2 linked regions of the Xenopus tropicalis genome follow. The protein of the gene in region 1 purifies or fractionates together with the protein of each later gene. This does not show direct contact. Links are inferred from orthologs where the notes say so. Each region holds a gene or a part of one and is shown on either strand. Other genes may lie near its edges. The genes, in order: hirip3 and ampd2.

Region 1 (15,708 bases):
AACCCTTTCAATGCCTGGGCTCCCGCGGGGGCCTGCAGAATGTCACCCCCCCCATTAGGCCTCTCCATCAGATGTGCAAAACTTTCCCCCAGCATCTCTCCATTCAGCCACTGTGCCATTATCATCCTGCCCGGGTGGAGGAGGAGAAGGAGCGCAAGCTCAGTTGCCAAGCCCACAACTTTGTCTCATCTGTTTGATGACCTAATTCCGGAGATTGAAAAATACCTACAAAGCTGCAGTTTCCTTGAGCGAAGGGCAGCAGATATTCTTAAATCTCCCCCCACGGCGTTTGTCTGCATCACTCTCGGTTACGCTTCTCAAACTGGCTTTATTTTCAGGCAATAAAGAGCGAGATTTGTAAAATAAAGGCTCCTGTTATCGATACAAGGGGGGGGCTGGGGGGCTCCCTATGGGACATCACCCAACACACAATGCATTTTGTCAATATCCCAACACACAATGCATTTTGTCCGCACAAAAGTTCACAGTTCATGTTCCAAAATGCTCGGTGTGCAAAGGGTCCCCCTTGTGTTATAATTCCCACTGATCCATGGGGAGGGCAGGACCTCCCGGCACTGGGAAAACCCATAAAAACACACATTTTATTCACCTCTGTGTGTAAAATACAACTTTAAAATCCACAAAGAGCTGGGAAAGCTGCGCTTACTGATCGATTGCAATGGGGCTGCTTTCTGGCTTTGCGAGGGGCGAATGCATAACGGCGGGGCGGCTCGGCTTCAGCACTTTCTGGGAGTCAACTTGCCCTGTAGCCAATTGGCCGAGCAACTCATCCACCTGCAGAGGAGCAACAAAAGCATCAGGGCAAATAGGAATGGCGATAAGTAGGCATGCATTAACCCCTTCTAGCTATGCCAGTTCCACAGGGGTGCACTATAGTATATACATGATCCCTGGCACCACCCCTCCCCCCCCCAGACCGGGCACTTTCCTTACCCTACGGGCATATTCAGGGTCTTCTTGAGGCTGGAACCGGCCGGACTTTTTCCGTGAGCGAGACGCGCTGCGTAGAGATAACACTATTAGGGGGGGCAGTTTGCCATCCTGTATAGAAACCTATGTATATCCCTATGAGACGATTTTTTTTAATCAGTCTAGAACAAAAAAATCAAACATACTCACCTTATGGTAGATTTTCTCATTTGCCCCGAAGGGGGGTAGTTTTTATCTGAAACAGATATTGTGTCCATGATTAATGACAAATATTGGTTTTCAGAAACTATGGCTGCCAAGTGTACGGTCCCTTTAAACGCACCCCCCCACTGATATTCCTGCTGCAGATTGTATTAACCCTTCACTTCCCCCCCCCCCCCCCCAAATTACATACAGGTACCTTGGAAGGCCGACCTTTGCTGCAAACGGCATTCCCTCTCCTGATTCCTGGGCAAGAGAGAAGGAGCGTCACTTTAACTTGCAGATACAACGGAACATTCTCCCTCGGGCAGTGATGGGGCCCAGGGTAAAAGCAGCCTCTTATTATCATTTGGTGCTGAAGGGCCACAGGTTGGGCAATAGAGATATTAAAGGAGAAGGAAAGGTAAAAACTATGTAAATACAGCCATAAGCACTCACAGAAACGCTGCACTGAGTCCTCTGTCAAAAGAAACACAGGATTTGTTGTTTTTGTTTTCCTGTGCCAGAGTCTGTGCAGCTCTCTCCTCTCCCCCCTCCCATAAGAATGTTAAGGACTCCCTCCTTTTGATCTGAGCCAATCAGCAGGAAGCTTCCTCATAGTCTTACAAACTGCACATGTACAGGGGTCTTGGTGCAGGAGTGAGGCATTATGGGAACTTTTTTCTGCGTTCTTTTTTTCCTATGAGGCTTTGGATCATCTGAACGGGAGAAATATGGGGAGACTTAAGGGCACTATTGAGAGAACTGAAGGTATGCCTGCAGCTTGAGATTAACTCTTTATTGGCCTTTCCTTCTCCTTTAAGTTCTATTGCCCCCATCTTGCTCTGGGTGCATGTATGGGCAGAGTGCCAGGCATATGATATATATATATATATATTATATACACACACACATAATCCCCAGTTTGCCTATTCCTGGCCAGTCTGGGAATGACAAGATATTCTGTTGCCACTTGGGCTCATTCCTATCCAGCTCTGCCTATTCCTGGCTCATAATTGGGAGGTTACACCCAGTTCCGACTGTGGAATCTCTGGGCTCGGAATGTGCCGAGTAAGTAACACACTCATGGCTTCATCACTCAGGCATGTCAGTGATCCTCTCCCCGGGGCGGGATTTCATTTCAGCTGCTGTGACCCCAGGGGAAGGGAAATGAATACGGACCATACCCTCCTGCTGCATCCTGGGAACCCTACTAATTGAAATGAGAAAGCTTAGCAAGTTAAGGGAAACAAAATGACTAAAACCGGTGATACTATATTTAGTTAAAAGGAATATTTAACAAGGTAAAAGCCTGGGTTTGGGGATAACACCGTGGGGCAGCAGGAGGGACAGGACACCATGATGGATTCAGTCAGCCCCCAGAATTGCTTGGTTTCCTATTCCAGCTCCTATCCCCACAGCCGTGACCCAATGTGATTGGAGAAGGGAACAAACACTTATGTGGGAAATATTTTTCACTTGTGCAGAAGTCACTGGGCGTGACACACACACATGCACAGGATCCTTACAGTGGGTGTGGGGGGGTGATCAAGTCACGGGGAAGGAACCTTCTGGAAACAAACAGAAGCACTCACCTCTCAAAGCACTCCTCACAGATGAGGTTGTCCTGTAGGCCGCAGGGAGTTGGAGTGGAGGAAGGAGTCAGGTGTAAGGGGATGCATGATCCCTCGAACGTCATACAGACGCGGCCGCAGCGGAGAAACAGCGGCTTCCAGCGACTCACAGTCAGCTCCTGCCCATGTACCACACACCAGCCTCGGCCTCCTGGGAATTAGATAGTGACCCACATACAGGGTTAAATATCTGCTCACACACAGCAGCACAGTGACTTCTAATATCCTTATCATACTCAGAGTTCCCTGTATAACTCAGCCTGCAGCCTTGTGCCTTTATATGGGCACAGAACCCCTCAGTGACTGCTAATATCCTTATCATTTACAGTAGGGGGTACATTATCCCTTATAATACATGAGTGATACTCAGAGTTCCCTGTATAACTCAGCCTGCAGCCTTGTGCCTTTATATGGGCACAGAACCCCTCAGTGACTGCTAATATCCTTATCATTTACAGTAGGGGGTACATTATCCCTTATAATACATGAGTGATACTCAGAGTTCCCTGTATAACTCAGCCTGCAGCCTTGTGCCTTTATATGGGGGGCACAGAACCCCTCAGTGACTGCTAATATCCTTATCATTTACAGTAGGGGGTACAGTATCCCTTATAATACATGAGTGATACTCAGAGTTCCCCGTATAACTCAGCCTGCAGCCTTGTGCCTTTATATGGGCACAGAACCCCTCAGTGACTGCTAATATCCTTATCATTTACAGTAGGGGGTACAGTATCCCTTATAATACATGAGTGATACTCAGAGTTCCCCGTATAACTCAGCCTGCAGCCTTGTGCCTTTATATGGGGGGCACAGAACCCCTCAGTGACTGCTAATATCCTTATCATTTACAGTAGGGGGTACAGTACCCCTTATAATACATGAGTGATACTCAGAGTTCCCTGTATAACTCAGCCTGCAGCCTTGTGCCTTTATATGGGCACAGAACCCCTCAGTGACTGCTAATATCCTTATCATTTACAGTAGGGGGTACATTACCCCCTATAATACATGCAAAGAGATTATTCCCTATACACCCCACAAGCACACACATATATATATATGCAGTAGGTACGTCAGGTAAGAGTAGACAGGACGGTGGATATTTATATAGCGGCCCCAGGTACCAATCCCCTTTCCCTAAAATAGCCCAGCGCCCTCACAGCATCACAAACGCCATCACGCACTGTTCCCATAGCAACCGACTGACTTCACTGGCCCTGACGTCATTGGAAGGGTGGTACGAGCAGCGCCGTGATTGGCTGATGCTTGCATATGCGGCTCAGCAGGTGGGGGCGGGGCATGGAGGGGCGTGGCCTAGCAGGGCTGTACCGTTGGATACAGCGGGTCAGGTGGTGCTGCCGTTATTGTAACCCGTTCTTCTCCGAAGGCTAGAGGAAGGTGCTGTCCATCTCAGGTAAACGTGTGGCCGGTAAATTATATATGAGCCCCACATAGGGGCACAGGGAAGCCCGGTATTTAGTATTGGGTCAGGTATATGAAACTGAAGCCCCAGGTACCCAGTGGCCAATATTGGCCGGCCCAGCAATGCTTCTGTATGGCAGCTCCCACAGCCCAACCCAGAGCCCTGCCCGGTGGGGTCCGGTCAGACAAGCAGTAGCCATGGCTGATGGTTCCATTGCTTTGGCTCTTACCCATTTGTGTAGTGCCCACACTGGCAGCCCATAGTGTAGCATTGGTACAGCTTGTATAAGCACATAGTATGGCAGCAACATTGCCCAGCCCTGTATCTGTATTAGCCCCAGTGTTCCATGGAGTGTGAGCTTAGGGGCCCAGTGTCTGTATTAGCCCCAGTGTTCCATGGAGTGTGAGCTTAGGGGCCCAGTGTCTGTATTAGCCCCAGTGTTCCATGGGGTGTGAGCTTAGGGGCCCAGTGTCTGTATTAGCCCCAGTGTTCCATGGGGTGTGAGCTTAGGGGCCCAGTGTCTGTATTAGCCCCAGTGTTCCATGGAGTGTGAGCTTAGGGGCCCAGTGTCTGTATTAGCCCCAGTGTTCCATGGAGTGTGAGCTTAGGGGCCCAGTGTCTGTATTAGCCCCAGTGTTCCATGGAGTGTGAGCTTATGGGCCCAGTGTCTGTATTAGCCCCAGTGTTCCATGGTGTGTGAGCTTATGGGCCCAGTGTCTGTATTAGCCCCAGTGTTCCATGGAGTGTGAGCTTATGGGCCCAGTGTCTGTATTAGCCCCAGTGTTCCATGGTGTGTGAGCTTATGGGCCCAGTGTCTGTATTAGCCCCAGTGTTCCATGGAGTGTGAGCTTAGGGGCCCAGTGTCTGTATTAGCCCCAGTGTTCCATGGAGTGTGAGCTTAGGGGCCCAGTGTCTGTATTAGCCCCAGTGTTCCATGGAGTGTGAGCTTATGGGCCCAGTGTCTGTATTAGCCCCAGTGTTCCATGGTGTGTGAGCTTATGGGCCCAGTGTCTGTATTAGCCCCAGTGTTCCATGGAGTGTGAGCTTATGGGCCCAGTGTCTGTATTAGCCCCAGTGTTCCATGGTGTGTGAGCTTATGGGCCCAGTGTCTGTATTAGCCCCAGTGTTCCATGGTGTGTGAGCTTATGGGCACAGTACCTGTCAGTTCCCCTGAGACACTCTCATCCTTCTCTGGGCTGGGAGTCTGGGGATCCTCCTGTTGGCACAAAAAAGGAGAGTGAGGGTCAGGGGGGGGGGGGTCGGGGCCAGCGTCAGGGGGGGGGGTAGGGGCCAGCGTCGGGGGGGGGGAGGGGCCAGCAGGTAGGGCACGATGGCAATATTAACACTTTGCGTTAATGCTGGCCAGGTTGTAGGTTGGCCAGTCCTATTAATAATGTGGGCCCCACAATGGGGGGGTTAGTAGCCTTTCTATGCAGTCTCCCTACAGTGGGACACACATTGGGCAGCCATGCTGGCTCATTAGCTCTACATGTACAGCTGGGGAAGGGCTGATTAACCCAGGGATCCCCAACCTTTTATACCCAAATGATAAGTGTTGGGCAGCAACACAAGCATGAAAGGTTCCTGGGGTGCCAATAAGAGCTACAATTGGCTATTTGGTTGGACAGGCAGCCTATAGAAGGCTCTGTTTGGCATTATACTGGGTTTTTATGCAGCCACAACTTGCCCCCAAGCCAGAAATACAAAAATAAGCCCCTGCTTTGAGGCCCCTGGGAGCAACATCACTGCTTTCACATTTCCTATTCCTCCTCCATTCTTGCATTTAAATAGATGCCTTGTCGGTAGGGTAATTTAGCCTAGCAACCAGATGCAGTATAAGGGCAAAAACAGAGCCACAGTAAAAGTGATGAAAAGAATTAAGACTACCACAGCCCCCCCCCCCCCCATGATAGTAAATGCCCAGACTCACCTGATTGGCAGCTGCCTGCTGGAAGTACTCCAGGAGCCTTTGCACCAGCTCTGCATTCTGGGCACAGGGACAGGGCAGAATTAATACATATTATATATATATTTATGCCTTTACACACTACACTATTAGGGTTGCTGCCTCACTGCTTTATAATGTAACATATAAATATCATGGCATTTAATGTAGAGGCATTGTGCATGGCTGTACAGAAACCAACACAGCCTGCAGTTAGAGGAACTAATACAGGGTGGGGGTTTAACATATATAAGGGGCAGCCCTACACACAGGCTCCTGGCATTGCTCATGTCCCCCCATGCCCCCGCGGTGCCCCCACACCTTGCCTGTCCCCCGCAGTCCGAGCCGCTTGCAGTGCTGCTGGAGCTGAGCCCGCTTTAGGAGTTGCAGGGAGGAAGGCGTCAGGTCCGGCTGTGGCGGCGCAGGGTTCTTGCCTTGCCGTTTGGGCATGATGGCTCCGGGGCTGGCACCTGGGTATATGCCCCGGGGTGGGGCAGTGGCTTCCAATCAATACCTGGAATGTATAGAGCCACACCTCAGCCCCCAGGGTAGGGAGGGGCAAGTCTATACCCAGGGTAACTGATTAATGCCCCCCTTGTATGTAGTACTTGGCCGTAACACCCTCACCTGTGCCCCCCAGTCAGTGCTCTGAGCCGAGGGGGAGCAGGGTCCCCTTATTACATCACCTAATTAGCAGCCTCCAATCTCAGGCCACTAATTACTCACTGTGGGAATTTAACTAGTTCTTTGCTGTGTGCCCTACTCCCTGCAAGCTATAAAGCATTAACCCCTGTGGTGTGGAGTTGCAACCAATCAGTAATTAGCTCTGCTCATTCAGCTGCAGGACGACTAATGAAAGCTGCATTCTGATTGGTCACCGCTCCTGTTTTGTGAGTTCCCTCTGAACCCTAATTGGCACAGCTGTGTCCAGCCAGGGATCTCTTGGCAAGTGATTTCTGTTGCCAAAACTACTGCTCCCAGCATCCCAGCTCAGCCCATAGGGGCAGGTTGGAAGTTGTAGTTCTGCAGCATGTGGGGTGCAAGTTGCCTGTCCCTGCAGCAGTTTAACCCTAATAATCAGCCATGGAGCATAGGGGTATTATGGGAGGGGCCACTTTAGCACTTAATAACAGAGGGGCGTTTCATACATAATGTGCCCACCCTATTGGGCCACAGGGCAACCCTCACATTTTGGCCCAGATTCACTAAGCAGTGCTACAGATTCCTGGCATAGGAAACACTATTTTTTTTATATATCATTATTATCTCCATCCATCATTGGGCAGGAGAGTTTCCCCTTTAATAATGCAGCTAAGCAATGGGCTGGCTTGCTGGGGCTGTGAGGCCAAGGGGCTGAATGAAGAGACGGGGGCAGCTCGGGGGCAGCTCGTATGGATTTCCGATCCCTGCCCTGATGATTAATTGCTCTACAATCTGCATCCCTGCGGCTTCCCCTGCCCAGCACCAGCCAGGAAAGGGTGCCTGGAATCCTATTGGCTCTTCATTGTCACTCTGGTGATGTCAGAAATCGAAGCATTTTCTGCTTCTTCAGGCTCCACCCATGCTTGTGACATCATAGTCCCCAAAATAAACTACTCCTGGCACAGGGGACCTGCAGGGATGGGGGGCACAGGGGGGCAGAGCTGGTAGTGGGTGATAATTATATATATTATGTTCAGGGATGGGATTGTGTTATACTGCACAGTGCTGCCAGGTTCCTGCCAGGGGCCACATTATCTTTAGGTGCCCTAGGGGCACAGTTTGGGCACACATAGAAAGTGTTTCCATGCCCATGTTGCCACACTACCTGCTGTCTCTCTATCTATGGGGCCCTAGGGTCTAAAGGAACAGTGGGGCCCCACACCCCTACCTTGCCCAGAACCCCATTCTGCTATGGGTGCTGCATGCCGTTCTGGTGCAGAGCCCTTAGGGTGCTATGCTCAGCAGTTTGTGTGGGTGGGGAGGCTGCCCATTCCCCTCCAGCAGCCAAGCAGTTAACGGAAGCAGCTCTCAGATCCCATCATGAATATGTATAATAGCGAGGGGCTTTGTGGCCCCCCCTTATCACACACGCCCCCCTCACACCCTCCCTCAGCCCTGACAGCAGCACCATCCTCTCTGCAGAGCGAGCAGATAAAGAGGGAGCGACGCAGAGAGACAGACGCAGTGCATGGGCAGACAGCTCCGGGACATGAGACAGCACAGCCCAGGTAAGTGCTTTTTATCCAACGAGGCCCCCCCATAGCATTCCAGCCTCACCCCCTACTGCTGTAAATAGCTCACCCCCTGGCTATGCCAACCTCCTCAGCTTGTAGAGGCTCCATGGCAGTGCCAGCTCTCCCTGCCCACTCTCCGCCATGTATGCACAGCACTGGTACTGATACTGGTACTGATACTGGTACTGGTACTGATACTGATACTGGTACTGTGCTGTGGCAGTTTCCCTTCTAATACTTCCCCTGGCATGGGCAGCTGAAGGCTGCAAGGGGATCCTGGGAAATGTAGTTTAACTGCAGGGTGACTTACCTGTAAGTTTGCTATGAGGGAAGGGGGTGCCTGGCTAAATGTGGGGTCACTTACCCCTAGTGATACACCACACCGCTATATTGCAGGCAGTGCCATTCTCCACTCGTTATAATTGCCCACCCTGCAATGCCAGCTGCCCTGCTGTACCCACAGCCCCTGCACCGTGCCACTGTATCTTGGCTATACATGCCAACCTTCCCTCTACCATATATGTTGGTGCCAGCCTTCCCTGGTATGTACCGTGCTGCCAACAGTGCCTTGTGGCCTAGAGCCCAGTGCCAATGAAGGATATGGAGACCCTGAGATATTCCCAGCTGGCAGACACACACTCCTGTGGCATTTGGGGTTCCCTATCTGATACGTAAAGGAGAATATGGGAGGGTGGATGCAACTCTCATACGTGCCGTGGGATCCTCGTGATGCCCAGTTAGTGCCAGGCTCATTGTACTCTGACATTGACTCGCCCCTCTCCCTCCCACCCGTCAGCTCTCCCCCCCACACTGCTCTGATTCACTCGATGAGTCAGTCTGGCCCATGGCTTTCTAGGGGGGCTTCCTCCGTCTGTGGCCTATTTTCTACCCAGACCCCTTCTGCCAATTCCCTCAGGTGGGGTCTCCCATGCCCCTGCCCCCCCCCCCCCCCCCAACCAAGCACTGAGCCCCCTGTCTCTCCAATGCCAATGGTTGTTCCTCTTGAGCCTTCTCACCCCCTTGGTGCCCCCACTCTCCACCGTTCTTACAGTGAGGTTGGAGTCCCTTTGGGCAGCGCTTAGTACTCAGCCTGTGAGTCACTCTCCTATTGGCAGCGAGTAGGTGGGCGCTCTCGGCAATACAGAGTGTAGGTGGCACCAGTGTACGGACTGGCACTGCTTTACACACAGATTCAATTACTGACAGCGGCACGGCTTGTGAAATTGCTTCTATGTGGGCTTGTTGGATTGCAAGCTCCTTTGGGCAGAGCCCTCTTTACCTCCTGTACCAGTTGCTTTGTATTTAATTCTGTATGTTCAATTGTGCAGCGCTGCAGAATATGTTGGCGCTTAATTATAAATACATGTTAATATTTCATAGGATTCTTTCTGTCTCTGCCCAGATTGCACCCAGTGAGCCGTTGGCACCAGGTCTGTGCCCAGATTGCACCCAGTGAGCCGTTGGCACCAGGTCTGTGCCCAGATTGCACCCAGTGAGCCGTTGGTAGCAGTTCTGTGCCCAGATTGCACCCAGTGAGCCGTTGATACCAGGTCTGTGCCCAGTTTGCACCCAGTGAGCCGTTGGTAGCAGTTCTGTGCCCAGATTGCACCCAGTGAGCCATTGATACCAGGTCTGTGCCCAGTTTGCACCCAATGAGCTGTTGGTAGCAGGTCTGTGCCCAGGTTGCACCCAGTGAGCCCATTGGTACCAGGAGACTTTCAGCCGTTCTTGCTTGGCAGCTCAGCTCCTGGACCCCCCTTCTCTCTATGCCCCTGCAGCTCCCCACAATGAATTTCCGTAGCCACCGGCTCCTCCGCCGCTCCCCGCCTCCCCCCCCTCCAATCTCCAGCAAGCCGACGGCAATCAGCGGTACCAGCGGCACCGGGCTCTCCAGCCTGAGCAGCATCGCGCAGATCAGCCCCTGCCTCTACTTGTCCAGCGGGAACGCCGCCGGCAGCCGCCACTTGGTTTACTCTCGCAACGTCACCTGCATCGTGAACGCCACGCTGGAGATCCCCAACTCCAACTGGCCAGACGTGGACTACATCAAAGTGCCGGTGCCGGACTTGCCCCACGCGCCCCTGGCTTTGTACTTTGACACTGTGGCCGACCGCATCCACCAAAATGGAAAGCGGAACGGCAGGACATTAGTCCACTGCGTAGCCGGGGTGAGCCGCTCCGCCACGCTCTGCATTGCCTACCTGATGAAGTACCACCGCCTCGCCCTGCTCGATGCCTACCAGTGGGTGAAGACCAGGCGGCCAGTTGTTCGGCCAAACATGGGCTTCTGGCAGCAGCTGATTCAGTACGAGAAAAAGCTTTTTGGCAAGAACACTGTGAGGTTGGTGCCATCTCCCCTGGGCCTTATCCCCGACATCTACGAACGGGAGACCCGCAGCCTCATCCCAGTGTGGAATTTCAGATAGAGACCCCTCCCGTCTCCTCTGGGACTTGGCAAGGGGACATCACCTCTCCCTTTTATACTGGGGGGGGGGGGGGGGGCACAGCCTAGCTTACAGGACCTTTTTTAATCCTAGGATAATATTTTTTAGGTTACACACCTTAATTTGCCAACTTCCATAAGGGTGAAATGGCTACGGGCAGTGCCAGGCAGCAGGGAGTGTTGTTGTTTGTTACCCTGTGTGTAGAGTTGCACAAGTTGCCCCGTAACGTGCCTCCCGGCTGTGTGTGTGTGCCCCGTTGCTAGGGAGACTGGGCGGGGGAAGAGGAGGGGGGGTGCGGGGAGGCACAGGCTGGGCGCACAAACATAGATTTCTAAATAAAAACTTATTTATCGTACGGAATCCTGTGTTTTTAGCATGAAACATTTATTTACAAAAATACATATAAAAATAACGTAGAACAGGGTGAAAAGACAAGAATGGAGCAACACTGAGGCATGCTGGGATACGGGCACCCACTGGGCGAGCCACACTCACTCACTCTCCCCATCATCGCTGATGATTCCCTTCAAGGAGGACCAGTCCATGGGTTTCTTTTTCCGGGGTGGGGCCTCCTCGCCCTCAGAGTCCGACGCCACCGCCTTACGGTATCCCGTGGGGGAGGAGTCCCGGGACGGGGAGTTCTGGTAAGGGTTCCAAGTGTTACGGCGCCTTGTGCGGCCTGGAAGGTGGGGGAGGAAAAGAGAGTAAGCTCACAGGGCTAGTCATGGTGTATTTGACATAGTAACATAGTAAGTTGGGTTGAAAAGAGACACACGTCCATCACGTTCAACCATAATGCCTATATATAACCTGCCTAACTGCCAGTTGATACATTATTACTTTCTGCCGCTGTCCCGACCAGTAACAAATGAGAATAACTTTATATATGGAAGTTTAGTCCTGGTATGTCGGTACCAGCCGGATCTGTGACTCCCGGGAGCGCAGCCAGTGTTGGTCACATGATACCTGCAGCCTTTATACTGACAAGGCAAGATTGGGCGAGGGCAACACCCCTAACTGGCGTGCCAGCAATGCTGAGGTCATGTGACTATCTTCCCCAGACCCAACGGAACCATGGTAACCCATGTATAACAACGGTAAATACCGGTTGGTCCTGCAGAGCGACACCCTGAGAGAGTTTGTCTCCCCGAATATAAAGAGCTGTACAATATTCACATCTCAGCAGGGTCATTTCCCCTTTAAATAAGGCATTAGCTGAAGGTAACATGCTGAGGAACCAGTTTATACCCTGCACAGGCTCTGTAGGGACACACGGGGCAAACAAACTGTCAGCGGCTGCAACTGCCGGCGGCCGAGGCCTCGAGTGTGAAAGAGAAAATTAGAACTCAACCAATATCAACAAATATAATTTTCCTCAATGGAAAATAAAAAGCAGTTAGTTTCCAATATACAATTGTTGAGCATTTTCAGTGCTATTCCCCACACTGTTGGTTCTGACTACTGCGACGTGCTTCAGTGGTACATGCAGTCAGAACCAGCTATATATATATATATTGGAAGACTGCTTAGATATCATTATTTGGGTTCAGTTACCCTTTAAACATGTCCTTAAGTAGTCACCCTGAGGCAGCCTGTATCAGCACTTTAGGGAAGGGTTGGGCAGTGCAGTACAATTACAGGGGGGGCTATTATCTGACACAGAGGAAAGGCATTTGCCCCGCAGCACAATGATTGGACGATGGGATGAATAAGGTGCATATAATGATGATGATGATGATGATGATAGGGGAGGCAGAGGGAAGTACTCACTCTGCTGGCTGGGACTACATCCTACACAGCTGGGGGGAGCCCGAGGGATCTGTCACATGACTCCTGCCCCCCCTCCTGCGATAAAGGGGAAGTATCACGGAAACCAACAGGTAATGAATACAGTACATAGGCAGGGTCCCCCCATTCCCCAGCAGCACCCAGACACCCTCAGGGATGCAGAGAGTTATAGCACGAGCCCTACAGCCACTGGCAGGATGCAGAGACCCCCACTGGGCTCCCCCAGACTGACCCATTAATCCTACCCCCCCAGCAACTTACCAGCTGTTTCAATGATGTTACTGGTATCCAGTTCCGCCAGTTCTGCTGCCTCCTCTCTCTTCATTCTAACAATGCGGCACTTGGCTAGTGATGGCTGCCCTGCGCGGAACAAACATTGCCTCTTATGAGCAGCTGCCATTCACCCCACCACTCTCTGTGCCCACCCCCTTCTGCCCAACCTCCAGCCCCAGCAAGGTAAGTCATCCCCCCACCGTACCCTCACCTTTAACCCCCAACTCTTCCAGCTCGTTCTTCAGGAGCTGCACCATGGATTTCACCGAGCGGCAGTCCTGGAAGAGCTTCTTGTAGTTCCTACGCGCCCCGCAGGCAACAATGTAGCGCTTCAGCCGCGCCACCGAGGGGTGGTCTTCCCGGGATGAACTCTAGGGGGGATAAAATGGAAGTCAGGCCGTGTAGTTCAGATACAGGGAAGGATTTGGGCTCAGGGTCAGTTGGAAAGGCTAAGGATATACTTGTTCCTTGAGAAACAGAATCTTTGTGAGAAGTCTTTAGTTCCCCTTTAAAGGTAATGCTCATATTTAGCCCATATCAGGCACCATATAACACTTCATATGGGTATGGAATATGGCAGGGGGGTGCCACGGGGATCCCCAGTGCAGATATGGCAGGGGGGGCACAGGGATACCCAGCATGGGGGGGGCACAGGAGTGGCACAGCTCACCTTACTCTGCTTCTTGCTGCTTTTCTCCTTGTCGCCATCAGATGCCACAGAGGAGTCGCTCTCAGTTCCACCATCGTTTGGTTCTTCTTTCTTATTGGCCGATTCCTCACCAGACTCCCTGTCCTTGGCACCTTCTCCTTTCTCCTTATCTTCATCCTCGCTGTCTGTCTCCTCCTTCTTGTCTGGCTGTCTCTTCCTTTTCTTGGCACTGCCGCTTTCCTTATCTGACTTGGCCTTGCGCCCATTCGCTTTCCTTTTCTTCTGTCCTGCGCTCTCTTTTTCACTCTCACTATCGGAGTCTCTCTCGGAAGCACTGCTCTCTGCACTCTCGCTGTCTGTCTCTTTCTTCGGAGAGTTCTTTTTAGGCATCTCATCTTCGCTCTCAGATTGGCTCCTGCCATTATCGCTCTCTCCCTCGCTATCGGCCTTTCTCCGTTTCTGCGCTGCTTTTACCTTCTCTCCCCCTTTCTGTAGTGTAGCGCTCCCTGCACTCTTGGCTCTCTTAGCTTTGCTCTCTTCCTCACTCTCACGGTCGGTTTCCAGCCTGGTGTCTGTCTCTTCTGCTTCATCCTCACTGTCCGAGCCCTTTGATTTGCCAGCTGTTCTTTTGCTACCAGTCTCATTCTTACTGGGACTGTCTGAAGAGTCCATTTCGACTGCCTCCTCCTCATCACTATCGCTCTCTTCTTCACTGTCTGTCTCTTTTTTATTCCTTCGCTTTGCTGGCTCTTTGCCTTGCGGCGCTCTCTTGGGGCTTGCGCTCTCCTTTCTCCTCTGTGCAGGTTTCTTTACTTTGCTTTCTCCCTCACTCCCACTGTCTCTCTCCTGCTTTGGCTTTTTCTTTTGCCTGGTGTCTGTCACTTCTGTTCCACTCTCACTGTCTGACCCCACGCTAGGCGCTCTCTTTCCCTTCTTTGCTGGCTTCTTCTCCCTCCCACCTTTCTGATATTTCCCAGAAGCCCCCTGTTTGCCAGACTTTGGCTTGGCCTGTGGATCACTGTTGGATTCCTCCAATGGCTTTTTCTTTACTGTTCCCTTTGTGCCACTGCTGTCGGACACCTTACTCTTTTTGGTGGGTCTCTTTCGTGGTGGGCTCGGCCCCTCGGAATCACTGTCACTCTCGGTCTCATTACTCTTGCTGTGTGATCTCTTTTCCTTCTCCGACCTGCTCGCAGTCTGTCTCTCAACAGCTGCCGCCTCAGAGGAACTGCCAGACAGTCTTTTGCGGTCGCTCACAAAGGGTTCAATCCCAGAATCCTCCTCATCAGAAGCATGGCCTGCAATATAAGCGGCTTATTACCATAAAGGCGGTCATACCTTACGGAATCTGACCCTTTGGCCAGTGGGCCAAACACACGGCTACTATATGAGCCCCTGTACTACCACCACGAACAGCAGCTCATTTACAGATACCCCATAAGAACCTGTATGAGACTGCTCATGGTGGGCTTCAGCTGGGACATACCCCAGTCTCCCTTACCTTCTGTGGGCTTCCGTTTCTTCCCTGGGGGCTCTCTGCCCCCTTCACTATCAGGTTCAGGAATCTCTCTGCCTCTCTTCTGTACCTTCCTGATCAGTGGCTCCTCGTCGCTGGACGACTCCTGCTGCAGAAACACAAGCCTTTAACTACAGAGTGAAGCCTAGGGATAAAGGGTTAATAGTTACAGCCAAGTTGCCCCCCCCGCCCCCCCCCCCCACCATGGGCCACAGAACACTGAATAGTTAGCCACGTGCCTGGGTTATTGACAAAGAACAGGAGCGGCAGTAACACAATGTAGGCTGGCACTGGGGCCACCTATAATGCAGGAAAAGCAGAGCTTGTGGCTAGTAAATGTGGCTAGTAATACAAATGGCTATATGTAACCTTGCACAATAACTCTGTGTGGGCTGAAAAGCTGTCCTCAATTCCTAAGAATTCAGCAGTCTTGTGCGCCCCCTAGTGCTTCCCCCGGGCAGTGCAATTGCCTGAGACTGAGGATCCCCTACGGCCCATGTATGACGATTATGTTTGTCAGTTTCAATATAACGGTGCAGCAGAGGCTGCCCAATGGCACTACCCTTACTAGTGGGATATAAGTCTGCCAGTCAGCTACAGGCTGTTAATGCTAATGGCACAACAGGGCCCCCCCCAAAAAATGATGTATTGAGTCACTCAACCCATAGGATCTTTCTTTAGCCATA
Region 2 (15,874 bases), on another chromosome or scaffold:
GACCACGCCCACTTTTGTGGCCACACCCCCATTACCACACCCCATTTTTTTTGTTTAAAAAATACTCCTTTTATATAGTTGAAATGGTGGGATCAGACACAAAATGTACTATACCTAAGGAAAACAATATAGCAACTCCTACATATAAAATACAAATATAGAGAGAAGGCAGTCAGTTATAAGTGAGTTATAACTATGTACCAGTTTTGCCCCCCCCATACACAGTGCCCCCAATGGCCCAATAGACAGTACCCCCCATACAGAGTGCCCCCATAGACAGTACCCCCATACACAGTGCCCCCCATAGACAGTACCCCCCATAGAAAGCACCCCCAATTAACACCATAGACAGTGCCCCCAATAGCCCCCGTAGACAATGCCCCCATAGTAAGTGCCTCCAATAGCCCCCATAGACAATGCCCCCATAGTAAGTGCCCCCCATTTCCCCTTATAGACAGTAGCTCCCTTACACAGTAACCCCCCGCCATACACAGCCGCTCCTTCTTCTTCTGCGGCTCTGCTCCTTATGCGGCAGCGACAGGCCCAAATATAAGGTTGCGCCCCATGCACACATACCATGGGGCACAACCTTATAAAAGGGCCTGTCTCTGCCGCACAACTTGCAGAGCAGCAGAAGAAGCTGACATCGCTGGTACAGCTAGCGCTATAAAATCCGGGACAGTTGGGGGGTATGCCTTAGGGATCTCCTCCCAGACCTGGACTAAAGCATCCACCAACTCCTGGACAGTCTGTGGTAAAACGTGGCGTTGATGGATGGAGCGAGACATGATGTCCCAGATGTGCTCAATTGGATTCAGGTCTGGGGAACGGGCGGGCCAATCCATAGCATCAATGCCTTCGTCTTGCAGGAACTGCTGACACACTCCAGCCACATGAGGTCTAGAATTGTCTTGCATTAGTAGGAACCCAGGGCCAACCGCACCAGCATATGGTCTCACAAGGGGTCTGAGGATCTCATCTCGGTACCTAATGGCAGTCAGGCTACCTCTGGCGAGCACATGGAGGGCTGTGCCCCAAAGAAATGCCACCCCACACCATTACTGAACCACTGGCAAACCGATCATGCTGGAGGATGTTGCAGGCAGCAGAACGTTCTCCACGGTGTCTCCAGACTCTGTCACGTCTGTCGCATGTGTTCAGTGTGAACGTGCTTTCATCTGTGAAGAGCACAGGGTCTCATGCTACCACTAGAGTGAAAGCACCGCCAGCATTCAAAAGTGACCAAAACATCAGCCAGAAAGCATAGGAACTGAGAAGTGGTCTGTGGTCACCACCTGCAGAACCACTCCTTTATTGGGGATGTCTTGCTAATTGCCTATAATTTCAACCTGTTGTCTATTCTATTTGCACAACAGCATGTGAAATTGATTGTCAGTCAGTGTTGCTACCTAAGTGGACAGTTTGATTTCACAGAAGTGTGATTGACTTGGAGTTACATTGTGTTGTTTGAGTGTTCCCTTTATTTTTTTGAGCAGTGTATATATATGTATATATACGAACAAAAAAGCATGAGCCGCACTCACAGGTCTTAGTGAACAGATAGAGAAGAATTTATTATAGCATCAAACTAACGTTTCGGCTGCTTCCACAGCCTTTATCAAAGTTCACTTTGATAAAGGCTGTGGAAGCAGCCGAAACGTTAGTTTGATGCTATAATAAATTCTTCTCTATCTGTTCACTAAGACCTGTGAGTGCGGCTCATGCTTTTTTGTTCGTGAAAATTTCGCTAGGACTCTGCACCCAGGCATCCTATATTTTTCATTAGACGTGAGTGCCTGTTGCTCTATACTTTGTTTATATATACAGTGGTGTGAAAAACTATTTGCCCCCTTCCTGATTTCTTATTCTTTTGCATGTTTGTCACACAAAATGTTTCTGATCATCAAACACATTTAACTATTAGTCAAAGATAACACAAGTAAACACAAAATGCAGTTTTTAAATGAGGGTTTTTATTATTTAGGGAGAAAAAAAATCTAAACCTACATGGCCCTGTGTGAAAAAGTAATTGCCCCCTGAACCTAATAACTGGTTGGGCCACCCTTAGCAGCAATAACAGCAATCAAGCGTTTGCGATAACTTGCAACAAGTCTTTTACAGCGCTCTGAAGGAATTTTGGCCCACTCATCTTTGCAGAATTGATGTAATTCAGCTTTATTGGAGGGTTTTCTAGCATGAACCGCCTTTTTAAGGTCATGCCACAACATCTCAATAGGATTCAGGTCAGGACTTTGACTAGGCCACTCCAAAGTCTTCATTTTGTTTTTCTTCAGCCATTCAGAGGTGGATTTGCTGGTGTGTTTTGGGTCATTGTCCTGCTGCAGCACCCAAGATCGCTTCAGCTTGAGTTGACGAACAGATGGCCGGAAATTCTCCTTCAGGATTTTTTGGTAGACAGTAGAATTCATGGTTCCATCTATCACAGCAAGCCTTCCAGGTCCTGAAGCAGCAAAACAACCCCAGACCATCACACTACCACCACCATATTTTACTGTTGGTATGATGTTCTTTTTCTGAAATGCTGTGTTACTTTTACGCCAGATGTAACGGGACACGCACCTTCCAAAAAATTCAACTTTTGTCTCGTCGGTCCACAAGGTATTTTCCCAAAAGTCTTGGCAATCATTGAGATGTTTTTTAGCAAAATTGAGACGAGCCATAATGTTCTTTTTGCTTAAAAATGGTTTGCGCCTTGGAAATCTGCCATGCAGGCCGTTTTTGCCCAGTCTCTTTCTTATGGTGGAGTCGTGAACACTGACCTTAATTGAGGCAAGTGAGGCCTGCAGTTCTTTAGATGTTGTCCTGGGGTCTTTTGTGGCCTCTCGGATGAGTTGTCTCTGCGCTCTTGGGGTAATTTTGGTCGGCCGGCCAGTCCTGGGAAGGTTCACCACTGTTCCATGTTTTTGCCATTTGTGGATAATGGCTCTCACTGTGGTTCGCTGGAGTCCCAAAGCTTTAGAAATGGCTTTATAACCTTTACCAGACTGATAGATCTCAATTACTTTTGTTCTCATTTGTTCCTGAATTTCTTTGGATCTTGGCATGATGTCTAGCTTTTGAGGTGCTTTTGGTCTACTTCTCTGTGTCAGGTAGCTCCTATTTAAGTGATTTCTTGATTGAAACAGGTGTGGCAGTAATCAGGCCTGGGGGTGACTACAGAAATTGATATTGAAATTGAAAATTGAAATTGATAAACCACAGTTAAGTTATTTTTTAACAAGGGGGGCAATCACTTTTTCACACAGGGCCATGTAGATTTGGAGTTTTTTTTCTCCCTTAATAACGTAAACCTTCATTTAAAAACTGCATTTTGTGTTCAATTATGTTATCTTTGACTAACAGTTAACGGTTTTTGATGAGCAGAAACATTTAAGTGTGACAAACATACAAAAGAATAAGAAATCAGGAAGGGGGCAAATAGTTTTTCACACCACTGTATATATATATATGTATAGACAGTGAGTTGGTGCACACCACTAACAATGATTATACCTGGGTACAAGAGCAAATATAGTACAATAAAACAAAAAAGTGTCAGCACTCACAGGATTTAAATTATTTGAAAAAAAGGTACGTTTCATTACAGACCTCCTTTTAGTATATATATATATATATATCAGTCCTGATGGTGTCTGCACTCCAAGGCTTTTAGTATTCTGTGGGGTGCACAGCCAAAATCTGAGTATTTAGCATGAAATAATCCATGGCCGGCACACCCTTAAAATTCAAAAACATTTTTATTGAAAACTCATTGTTTAAAAACCAACGTTTCGGTCCTCATTAGGACCTTTATCAAGGATATATATATATATATATAAAGACAGCTGTGTCTGCAGGGGGATTCCTGGAACTGATAGGGTTAATATTCCCTCTCAATAGGCTAATTAAGAGGCAGCTAAGGGAGGAGTTACCTGGAGAGGTACAAAGTGGTGTGCTCCCACACCTAGGGGTCACTCAGAAAGGGGGTCACTCAGAGTGAAAGGTCTCTCAGAGAAGGGCACAAAGTAGGAAGGCTGCCTGCCTGTGTTAAGAACTCCCAGAAGGGCTGGGGGTGCGGCCTGCCACTGCAAGATGCAGAGGGAGCTGTGACCAGGTGTATGAATGCTAAGAAGAGTCAGCACGGCTTAATGAGAAGCCACAACATCAAGGCTTAGTGAGAAGCCAAAGTGTGCCAGAGGCTGGTGAGCTGTTACCCCAGGAGGGGAGAGTCAGTGAGTGAGTAGCATTTGTGTTCAGGGGTGTGAGAGTCACCATGGTTGTGTGAAACTGGGGATGGTGAGAAACCCTGAAAAGGTTCCAGAGTAGGAAAGTGAGAGCCCAGAGTTTTTAATAAGTTTGTTAAAACTGCTGATGAACTGTGTTCCTATTTTCTTTATGTTGGGAAAAGTTTGCCCCAAATAATCCTGTGTTTTTGCCAGAAGACATTGTGTTCCTGTCTCCAGATCCTCTGCTTACCTGCCTACCATATCTAGTTTCCCCCAAAGTGTACAGGCAGACATGTCACTATATATATATATATATATATATATATATATATTTATATAATCGCAGCCACAGAGAGCACTCACGGAACCAGATCTGTATATATCAATCGACAGGCTTTATTCAGTTCCCATAACAAAACTTTACACATTGGCCGTGCACTCCAGGTCAGCATAAAAAGCCGCAACAGTTAGTATTAAAATCGATCAACCTTTATTTGCACATCAAAAACACAGCTGGAGGTCTTACGCGTTTCGTGACAACACACGCGCCATCACATTGTCATAAGACAAATAGTAGCTTTTACCTAAAGGCAATTTTTTCTCTGACATCATCAGTGACATTTACATCTGCAAACAACAAATGTGCACTGTAAAGTTCATGCAATCAAGAACGCAGGCTTACACAAACTGAACTTAAAAAAAGTCCTGCTTCGATTGAGCACTGCAATGGTTGAGCTGAGCACAGCACAGGTTAGGAGAAGAGCTAGAGCAGAGTTTCTGTGGGAACTAGCAATGCTGTCTCTTCATTGGCTGCTAGACTGGAGGGTGTGTTTCGTAATCTGAGATGATAAGAACTGAGCATGCTCAGTAGCCAACAGCCAAAGTCAATTTCTAAGTGAGGGAGCCGAGTGGGTTAGAGGAGGAGAAGGAACCCTAAGTGATTAAGGGGATGCTGCTGCCTTACTATTAACTGTTGAAAATCCGGAGTGGCAGATTTCATAAGATCTTAGAAAAGTTAATTACCCCAAGAAAAATTCAAGACTTTTGTTTGCCAATGATTTCTTTTTCTCATGCAGGAACCTCTAATGGAAGAATACAGCATTGCAACCCAAGTGTGGAAACTGAGCTCATGTGACATGTGTGAGCTGGCAAGAAACAGCGTGTTAATGAGTGGCTTTCCTCACAAGGTAAATACATTTTACCAAAATTTGACCATACATGCCACAACACCATTCCTCACACTTAAATGAAGCAACAAGGAAACTACTGGGAGTTTGTTCTTAATGAAATACAAGATACAAAATATACAGATTTCTCTTTTAGGCATTCAAGTGAAAAGAAGACTCTGGGAATATAATTCAAAGAAGCCCCCAGAAAAACATGCCATTTTTAGTCTAATTTTGTTTTGAAATCACAAACAGCTCAGGTACAGCTCTTTTAGCTGCTTCCAAGTCTAGCATGAAGCCCCCTTTTGTCTACCGTGCATGATTTCTGCCTCTGCACCAGGCCTGGACTGTTACTCCTTTGACTTTTCTTCCAAAAATAATAATAAATGCTTAATAAAAAAAAAATAATTCTAAGCAACTTTGCAATATCTATTCATTAAACATTTGTAAGTTATATAATTGCTATTAAAAGCAGTGTTTGTCATTTTCTATTCTCTGCCTTGGTGGCTCTGACTTTTGAAACAATGTAAAATAAGCCAGCTGATTAACAGACCTGTCCTGGCTGTAGGAGACTGGCTTTTGCAACATTGTTTAAATATTCAAATCCAGGAGTTAAGCAAATGCAGCTTTTAATAGTAAATACATTTAGAAATAACTTAAAGCATTAAATATTTTTAATTCATAATGGAAAGTCGGTTAGAAAATATTTTTTTTGGGTTGACATGTCCTTTAACCTTTCTTATTCTGTACTTTCTTCCTTATGTCTCTTTTTGTCTTCCTTTATTATGGTTTTCTGCATACTGTCTACCTCTCTCCTCACCTCACCCCACCTCTCCCTTATCCCCTGTGCATTCCTTATGCTTTGACTTTTGTGCTTCTCCACTTTTCATCTTTTTCATCTGGTCTGTAGGACAGACCATGGCTAATTTATAGGCAAGCAAAGCAACACAGAGCTGAGCTGGGGCAGTATGTTACTAATAAGATTATGGCTGTAATTTTGAAGCAATCTTGTTCAGAGACTTTCCTTCTCCTTCAAACGCATCTTTTTTTCATTTCTCTTCTCTGTAGAGAACAAACCACTAGAATGGATGAATCCATCAAACAGAGACAGTTTAATAAGAGACTGGTATTTTTAAACTTGTTTTAAAGCAAAAGTAACACTAAAAAATTTTAAGTAAAAAATCTATTCTACCCTGCCCGAATAATTGCCCTATCCTGCAAACCATTTATTATTTTGAATGCTTTAGTACAAAATACCTGTTAAAACTTGACTTCCGGTCATTTAAAGAAAGGCGATACGGCGATGCAGGGGAAGTATCAGGGGAAGCATCCACTATGCGGCGATCGATTGATGGAGCCTAGCCTGGCTCCTTCAGTATAGGCTAGGCTCGATCAATCGATCGCCACATAGTGGGTGCTTCCCCTGCATCGCCTTTCTTCAAATGACCGAAAGCCAAGTTTTGACAGGTATTTTTTACTAAAGCATTCAAAATTATAAATGGTTTGCAGGATAGGGCAATTATTGGGGCAGGGTAGAATAGATTTTTTACTTAAAAAATTTTAGTGTTACTTTTCCTTTAATGCAAGCTTGCTGTAGTAGGTTTTCGCACAGCAATTGTCAGGACAGCAAAACGTTATTTAAAGGACACAGTAACAGTAACACCAAAAAATTACAAATAATAGTATAAAGTACTGTACTGTTTTAAGCTTTTAAGCTAAGTTGGCTACACAGCAGATTGTTTATTAGTCTTTCTTAAGCAAACACACCAGTTTTACCAGTGCAGGTCAACAGTACTTCATATTTTAATTACTGTAAAATGTTGTCAAAAGGCAGTTTAAAGGTTGCACAACATTTCACACAGCAAAATAATGCAAGAAAACACTACAGACCTTTCGTCAAGTAACAGTGTGTAGAGGACTTTGTGTTCGATTCACAAACATCACTCTCTGTCTTTCTCAATAGTCTCTTCTCTGTCTGTCTCAATAGTCAAACAGGCCAGCCAGGGTTTTAAAGTTTCCTGGTTAGATTGCTGAGACAAATTAGACCCAGCTGGTTATTCTGCAGCTCTTTAATCTACTATACTTACTTACGCCCTTCTGTATGCATTTATGTGTGTTTTGTAATAGCAAACATTCCCCATTTCTTCAATTCTCTCACTGACTCACAAATGCAGATGTTAGTTAAAGCAGGGGTTTCCAACCTTTTTAGCCCCGCGGCCCGGTAGGAGGCACAAAATCTTTTACACGGACCGAGGGGGGCGGGGCGCGGCGCGTAATACATGCGATGCGCTGGGGGGGAAGGGGGCGCTGCGGCCCACTGCCATGCCGTCCGCGGCCCGGAACTGGTCCGCGGCCCGGCGGTTGGGGACCCCTGAGTTAAAGGAAACTATAACTCAAAATGAATACTTTGCCAACAGATGGTTTATATCAAATGAAGTGGCTTATTAAAAAATCATACCAAACTGAAATATTTATATCAATAGATATCGCCCTTTAACATCTTTTACCTTGAGCCACCATTTTGCAATGGTTTGTGTGCTGCCTCAGAGATTACTTGACAGGAATTAATGCAGCTCTAACTGTCACAGGAAGAAGTGTTTGAGTAAAAGGCACAACTTTAATTGGCTGACATGACTTAACATGTACACATAGTTTGTGTGCAATGATCGTAGTACTTAAAATGGGAGTCTTCTATTTAGGGTTACCCAACTGCACATACTGCTAAAAAAAAAGTATATTTTTATCAACTAAAAAAATGAGAAATGCTAGAGTTTTAGTAAATCTGCCCCCAAGTCTACTAAAGGTAATTTAAGCATTAAAGAAACCCAATAGGATTGTTTTGCCTCCACTAAGGATTAATTACATCTTAACTGGGATCAAGTTTCTCGGTAACCTTAAAGTTATGTAATACAGGTATAGGACCTATTATCCGTATTGCTTAGGACCTGGTGTTTTGTGTCTATCTGGTATCTTTCCATAATTTGTATCTCCATACCTTAAGTCTACTAAAACATTATTTAAACATTTATTAAACCCAATAGGATTGTTCTACCTTCATTAAGGATTAGTTATATTATAGTTGGGGTCAACTGAACTGTTTTATTATTACAGAGAAAAAGAACATTTTTAGAAATCTGAATTATGGTAGATGAACTTTTTGGATAATGGGTTTCCAGATAATGGATCACATACCTGTATATTACTTTTTTTTTCAAAATGTGTGTCAGTTTTTTTTTATTTGAGCACTTGCAGACTCTAAACTCTCTACTTTTTCTGCAACAGGTGAAAAGCTATTGGCTTGGACCAAAATACTCACAGGATGGACCTGAAAGCAATGACATTCGCAGGACCAATGTTCCTGACATTCGTGTTGGCTTTCGATATGAGACTCTCTGTGAAGAACTGACACTGATCACGCAAGCTTTGCAGAGTGAGGAGCTTGAACCCATCCCTGAAGAGGCTCTGTTCATGGGGGTTGAGCTTGGTGGGGAAACCAAAGGAGAGTCTAATAGCCAGAGTATGGAGAATGAGAAAAGACGACCCTAAACAAAGCAAATACTTTAAAAGGGGGATGGGAATAGAGAAACTTTAATGACCATAAGCATGGAGAAGCACCAGTAAAAAAGATGAGGCAATGGCCTTTGGAGCATAAGAAAGAAAAAGAAACATAATTTTTTTTACTGTGGTTGTACCTGTAAAAGAAACAGAAAGAAGAGGCAGATAGTCTATATGAGTGGTGAAATGTTGTTTGCAAGTATGTAGCAAATGACTGAAGAAATCATGGAAATGTGTGCTGCTCTAAAGAAAACATAAATATGTTAATGTAACTATAGTTCTGATAAATGTTGGAAGAAAACCTACACAGTAAACAAGAGCTGAAATTAAAATATATGTGAAAGAAGCAGAGGATGGGGAGATTAAACACAGATTGCCTCCTCCACTTGTGAGGAGGTAGGTGCCTAAGCATGAATAATATTGAGAACCCTGCAATATTATGTTTATAAATATATATATATTTTAAAAACTATTAGAATGAGAAATTTATCATATTGTGTAAAACCTCTGGTCAGAAATGTTTAGAGTGTAAAGACAGTGACTATTATGCACAAAAGAGTGAGGCTTTTATGCTTCAGAAAGAAAAATATCTAGTATTACTGTCATTTTTTCTGAAAAGGTAATCAGCTGTAGAGACAGTGTCAGTAAAATAGAGCAAACAGTGTGTAATGGCAAAATGTTGGCACTGGGGCAATTGTTTTTAACTGAAGAAAGCTGGGAAATCAAATAATTTTTAGGCTGGAAAAAAACTCTGTGATCTGTTTATATAGTAGAGGAAAAAGTTGCAATGATTTTGTAAGGTGTAAAATTAAATGTCTCAAGCAATGTCTTATTTTAGCATGTTCTCTGGTATGCTTGCCTGTTCTGTTTTTAGAACATCAGTTGTGTAAACCTCCCTGCTCATGATAACTCACCGGCACACTTGGGGGCATTTTTATTATGTTGTGTAAAAAAACGGCAAGAAAATTTGCCACACATCTCCAAGCTTCGCTATGTAAAATCAGCATAAAACACAGCATAATAAATATGCCCCTAGATCTTGCCACAACTGCAGTGCAATGAACATATCCAGAAAATCCTAATCCACACTATGGGGGATATTTACTAATGGGGGGGTTCTGATTTGGATTTTTTAGCACTGAAAAAAAAGGTTGCAACTTTTTTCGTGATTTACTATGTGACAAAACTGTGCAAATTCTATATCTGAAAATACCCCATCAAAAACCCGTTGATCATGTAGACGTCAATGGCAAATGTCTATTCCCTTCTCTGGAAGACCTTTCTTTGCTTTGAATTGAGGAATTGAGATTTTGGACTTTTGATGCTGGCTTTTGTGTGGCAATTTAAAAATATCAGACATTTATGAAAATTAGTTTATTCAAATGTTTTTTTTTTTTTAGGCTGGGAGAAACTAGAGTTGTAGTAAATCTGCCTCCACAAGTAGGATAAACTGCTTAAAAATCAAGAAATCTTCAACCAAACCATATTTGCCCAAAGTGTACATTGTGGTAAAAAATTTCCCTGTAGTGTGTGCCTAAAACATATAAAAGATTGAAAAGAGCATGTGGATGCCATACTAATCATCTGTTATGTACCTGAAATCCTAGACCTACTACTGTGCCTCTGTACTACGGTGTTATATCACAAAAACAAGTTGGAATAAAACAATTCAATTATGTATTATGTTAGCTATAGTGCATTGTGACATTTAAATCTCTACACAATTCCTCTCACACTTAATCATCCACATGTACTTTGCACTTATGTTGTATATTGACTTGATACACTTTGTTGTAAAAATATACTAGTATTACATATATTGTTTTTCTACCCAAACCAAAAATCAGCAGTGAGGTGACGTTGTTGTGTAATGTCACTGAACATTTTGACAAAAAATGTAAAATATTAAAAAGCCCAACAATACTGGCACAGTTCTTTTAAAAGTTATATTTTGCTGTATAAAACTCCATGGTTGCTTTTTGTTTTTTTGACATCTTGGACCAAAATATTTTGTGTTTTTTTTCTTTTGTGTGCAGACTGTTCTTATTTGGCTGAAAATGAACAAGAATCACAGGGGTTGTACTACAGTATGATATCTGTTATCCAGAATTCTTGGGACCTGGAGTATATTTATGCTAGCTTAGGTTACATGAAATAGAAAATAGTGGTGTTGTTTTTAGGAAAAAAGAGCAACTGAAGAGCAAATGAAGAATTTTTTAAATAGGTTTTCCACCCTAAAATTGTTTTTGCATTATAAAAGTAAATGTGATACTAAGCAGTTTTCCAATATACATGAGACTAAAACTGTATCTGGTTCTTACCAGGTCTTTTAATCATCTTTTGTCAGCTGGCAACATTGTTTCAGGAGTCAGAGCCTGGAAAGCTAAAATGTACACAGTCAGAAAAATAATGCTTTTAATAGCAATTAAATTTACAAATTACGTCAAAATATCAAAACTCCATAATTGATGTATATTGAAAAGTTGCTTAGCATTCAGTTTCTTTCATGGTGCAAAATAGTTTTTTGGGTTTAGTTCTACTGTTGGACACTATAAAAAATGGCAGTGTAATTTTTTGAGACCTTCTGGATAGTTGATACCATACCTGCCCATATGGTTGCCACCTGAAGAGTATTGTATTGGCCTGGTTGGTAAAAATGATGAAGCGGTGGTCCACCTTTAAGTTAACTTTTAGTATGTTATAGCATTGCCAATTATAAGCAACTTTTCATTTGGTTTTCATTGTTTATTTTTTATAGTTTTTGAATTATTTGCCTTTTCGTTGGGATTTACTGACAGCAAAAAAAACTATTGCTCTGTGAGGCTACAATGTTATTGTTATTGTTACTTTGTATTACTTATTTTTGTATTCAGGCCCTCTCCTATTCATTCACTCCCTGGTTGCTAAGGTATTTTGGATTCTAGCAACCAGATAACTGCTGAAACTCCAAACTGGAAAACTGTAGATCAAAAATTTAAATAATTATTAAAAAACGACAAAAAATGAAGACCAATTGCACACTGTCTCAGAATATTGCTCTCTATATCATACTATAAATTAATGCAAAGGTGAATAACCCATTTAATAGGGGAAAAAAGCAAAATATATGAAGGCTGTTTTTTCCAGAAAAGGTGGCAACCCTACCTCAAAAATGCTGCTATATTTTTAAAATCATCAGTTCATTAAGCCTGCATGAGAAATAAAGATTAATTTGAATTGAATTGAAAATGTTACATTTGTATTGCCTGGCTAAACCAAATATTGTTTTATTACCTATGTGTCTAAGCTTGTTGGGGTTTGCAACATACAGCAGCAGAAACAAGAATTTGCAATTAAATATATACAAGTGAAGGCTCTTTATACATCTTCTTACATTCTTCTGTAATCAAGTGTGATATTTCTTCATATCCCAGTAATTGCATGTTTTCCATAATCTTCTTTACCATTTATCATTAATTACTGTACAACTTGGATATGTGCAAAAACATCATAACAAATAATATGTATAAAAATATTGATACAATTTTCTTCTATCATGAATGCAACTCTAGGATGAATTTTTGCCCATTATCTAGCAATGCAAATAGTAATGTGGATGGTAGTTACAGGGACCTGGCCCAGACACTTCAGTTTTCATGTTTCCACTCCCTTACTGAGCCCTTGAAAGAGCATTATCACACTACTGGTAAGCTGTGGTGTTGGGCAAGGAAAGCACAAGCACAGACAGTCAGTTGGTTTATTCATTTTTTTATTTTTTGAATGTCTTTATTCTATTTGTAATTATTTATATAATTGCAAATATCCAACCTAACTGGCCAGGAATTCGTAAATGGCATCCAGTGTCTGGTACATATCACAAATTACTTCAGGTTGGAAGGTGCTGATCCCTCAGTGGACACTGTGCACCAGGTGGAATATATTTTGGAGGGGCCAGGGAGTGCTGGTGCGTTCTTCTCTATGTACACATCACAAAATGGCAATGAGAGGTAGAGGGGGGAAAGGGTTGTTAGAGTGGAGAGGGAGGGTGTTGTAAGAGCTTATAATCTCAAGTTTAAAAGTATCTTGTTCCCTGATATACTTTAACCAGGTAAAAAATTGTTTACTCATCTGGTCCATATCTTTTCACATTTTTGGGGGGTGGGGAACCTCTTTAACGTTGTTATTAAGCAGAGCAGGATATTAAAATTTACCATTTTAAATATAATATTGAGGGAATGTCTGATTTCCATTTGATGGTAAAAACATTTTCAGGATAAACAAAAATTGTATAGTAGCTTTGTCTTATTGAAATGAGGAACTTTATAAATATAAATATTTATAATCATTTAAGTGCAGCAGTACACTGAGTAGATGTACAAAACCTAGACAAAGGAAAGCAAATGATCTGCCCAGTGTACCTGTGTGAACTGTCTCCGGATATCACATCCTTTATCTTCGTGTATACAGTTTGTATTAAGCATTGGCCTTGAAGAGATACCAACACCAGAAATTAAATCTATTTTTTTTTTTATAATTTTGCCTCAAAAATATTTGCCCAGTGCTTTTACATTACTTAAATGATCCCCCATGTTCCTCTGAGGGGGCTGCCATATTTGTGCAGCAGGAGTCCGTTACCATTAGAAGCTGTAACTGACAGGCTGAGAAGGGACAATGCACGCTAATTAACGCAGCACGCTACTTGTCGCACACGCTAATTAACGCATGTGCGCTACTTATCGCGCACATGCCATATTAGCCATACACACCATTACGTTGGTAAAACTACTTTTTTTGAAAATGACCATTTCCCTGCAAACTGGAGGATGCATCACTCTAGGGCCAACACATACTTGAATAAATCACACTGCAAAGTACTTATTAGGGCTGATTCACTAAAGTGCGTTCATTTTTATAGCATGCTTTTTTGAGTTAAAATAGACACAAAAATGAACTCTAGGCATCACTGTAGGGCCAACACATACTTGAATAAATCACACTGCAAAGTCCTCAAAAACTCATGAACTGTACTTTTCTATAATTGCCACCTGCCCCAAGTAGGTGTTAATTTTCACATATACTAATGCAATATTTAGCGTGTCTTAGTGTTTGTGAATCATGCGTTAGTATTATATCTGCACTTTAGTGAATCAACCCTAATATGTAAATTGTGATTGGTGGTTGGTGGGTGTGCTCACTTTTTCTAACCTTGAGTCGAAGTCACCCAGTGAACAGTGGGCACCCTGGCATAAATAGTGTGAGAATGGCAGCATTTTAAATTTAAACCAATAAAATTCAATGGATGAAATCTGATTGGCTGTTCGTGGCCCAACCCACTTTTCCTATTTTTGAACTTCAGTCCCCCAGTGACCATCTTGCAAAGTTTGGGAACCCTGACATAAATAGTGTGAGAAAGGCAGCATTTTAAATAAAAAAAAATCAATAGCTGAAGTATGATTGGCTGTTGGTGGCTCCACCCACTTTTTAAAACCTAAAAATGTAGTCCCCTGACCCTGGTGTTAATACTGTGAGAATGGTAGCAGGTTGAATTTCCCCATTGAAAATTAATAGGTAAAATCTGATTGGCTGTTGGTGGCTCCACCCACTTTTTCTACTCTGAACCGCGGTTACCTGGTGACAAGCTCTGCAAAGTTTGGGGACCTTAGTTTTAATATTTAAAGAACGGCAAAAGTTTAAATTTAAACATATGAAGTCTATAGGTGAAATCTGATTGGCTGTTGTTGCCCCCACCCACTTTTCAAAACTAAAACTGCAGTCCCCTATTGACAAACTGTGAAAAGTTTGGGGACCCTGATGTTAATAAAGTGAGAATGGCAGCAGGTTGAATTTTCCCATTGAAAGTCAGTAGGCAAAATCTGATTGGCTGTTGGTGGCTCCACCCACTTTTTCTAACCTTGAACCGCAGTTACCTGGTGCCTAACCCTGCAAAGTTTGGAGACCTCGGTGTTATTACTGTGAGAATGGCAGCAGGTTAAATTTCTGCCAAGTCAATAGGTAAAATCTGATTGGCTGTTCACAGCTCTGCCCACTTTTGGGCATCCAACAATCATCATATTTTCATTCAGGCTGACCCCATAAGTATGTGGTTCAAGTTTGGGAAGTGTAGTCTCAAGGCAGTAAGATTGGCAGCAGTTTCAATTTCCCCATAAAAGTCAATGGGTGAAATTTGATTGACTGTTGTTGGGCCCTCCCATTTTGGGGTCATCCAACAAATGTTGCTGTTTCATTCAGGGTGACCCCATCATTATGTTATTCAAGTTTGGGGGGGTGTAGCTTCAAAGCTGTAAGTGTGGCAGCAGTTTGAAAATCTTCCCTGTCAAAGTCAATGGGAAAATTGGGGGGTTCGGCGCCACAAAACGACGGGGGGTGGAATCACTTAGAAAAGCACAAGCAACCTCAGGGTGAAGAAGTGTGGAGAGTTTGGGTGTTGTACCTCTAAAATTGCAGGAGGAGTAGCGTTTAGAAAATGGGGGGTGCTAAGAAGAAGAAGAAGCGGAAGAATAAGCTGAAGTTGAAGAACATTATGTTGGGTTTTTCAACCCAGCATAATTACAGTACTTACAAAAGCAGTCCTATCAGCAAAAAAGGTTCAACATGACCTATAGGTAACTTAATACAGGACTTGTTATGCAGAATGCTTGGGACTCGGGGATTTCAAGATAAGGGGTCTTTTAGGATTGTTTTGCCTCTAATAAGGATTTATTATATCTTAGCTGGGATAAAGTACAATGTAATGTTTTATTATTACATATAAAAAGAAAATCATTTTTAAAAATAAGAATTATTTTCTTATAATGGAGTGATGAGAGTGGTAAAAGAGACTGTAAAGTAAATTAATTGGAGAAAGCCTGAGGAAGCTCATATTTGAGCGAAACGCGTAGCAGTAATCTGATTAATTTTCCACATTATAAACATTGTGTGTGAAGTAGA

The links.
Region 2: the proteins of hirip3 (region 1) and ampd2 purify together in Homo sapiens (co-immunoprecipitation; 3 studies listed by BioGRID and IntAct, with this or other methods). This does not show direct contact. The link is inferred for Xenopus tropicalis from reciprocal best matches to the Homo sapiens genes HIRIP3 and AMPD2.

What each region holds. Positions count from the first base shown.
Region 1 is NC_030685.2:5,180,193-5,195,900, reverse strand, and holds the end of hirip3 (HIRA-interacting protein 3), read right to left. Parts: intron 15,132-15,708; coding exon 15,008-15,131; intron 14,805-15,007; coding exon 13,528-14,804; intron 13,229-13,527; coding exon 13,069-13,228; intron 12,945-13,068; coding exon 12,846-12,944; intron 11,476-12,845; coding exon 11,288-11,475; 3' UTR 11,162-11,287; downstream 1-11,161. Other genes in the region: dppa2 (developmental pluripotency associated 2), read right to left, coding at 664-795, 955-1,021, 1,141-1,186, 1,352-1,398, 2,727-2,916, 5,350-5,407, 6,122-6,178, 6,458-6,586; dusp14 (dual specificity protein phosphatase 14), read left to right, coding at 10,119-10,778. UniProt on the Homo sapiens protein: Histone chaperone that carries a H2A-H2B histone complex and facilitates its deposition onto chromatin.
Region 2 is NC_030678.2:71,737,632-71,753,505, forward strand, and holds the end of ampd2 (AMP deaminase 2), read left to right. Parts: intron 1-5,302; coding exon 5,303-5,413; intron 5,414-8,674; coding exon 8,675-8,938; 3' UTR 8,939-10,873; downstream 10,874-15,874. UniProt on the Homo sapiens protein: AMP deaminase plays a critical role in energy metabolism. Catalyzes the deamination of AMP to IMP and plays an important role in the purine nucleotide cycle.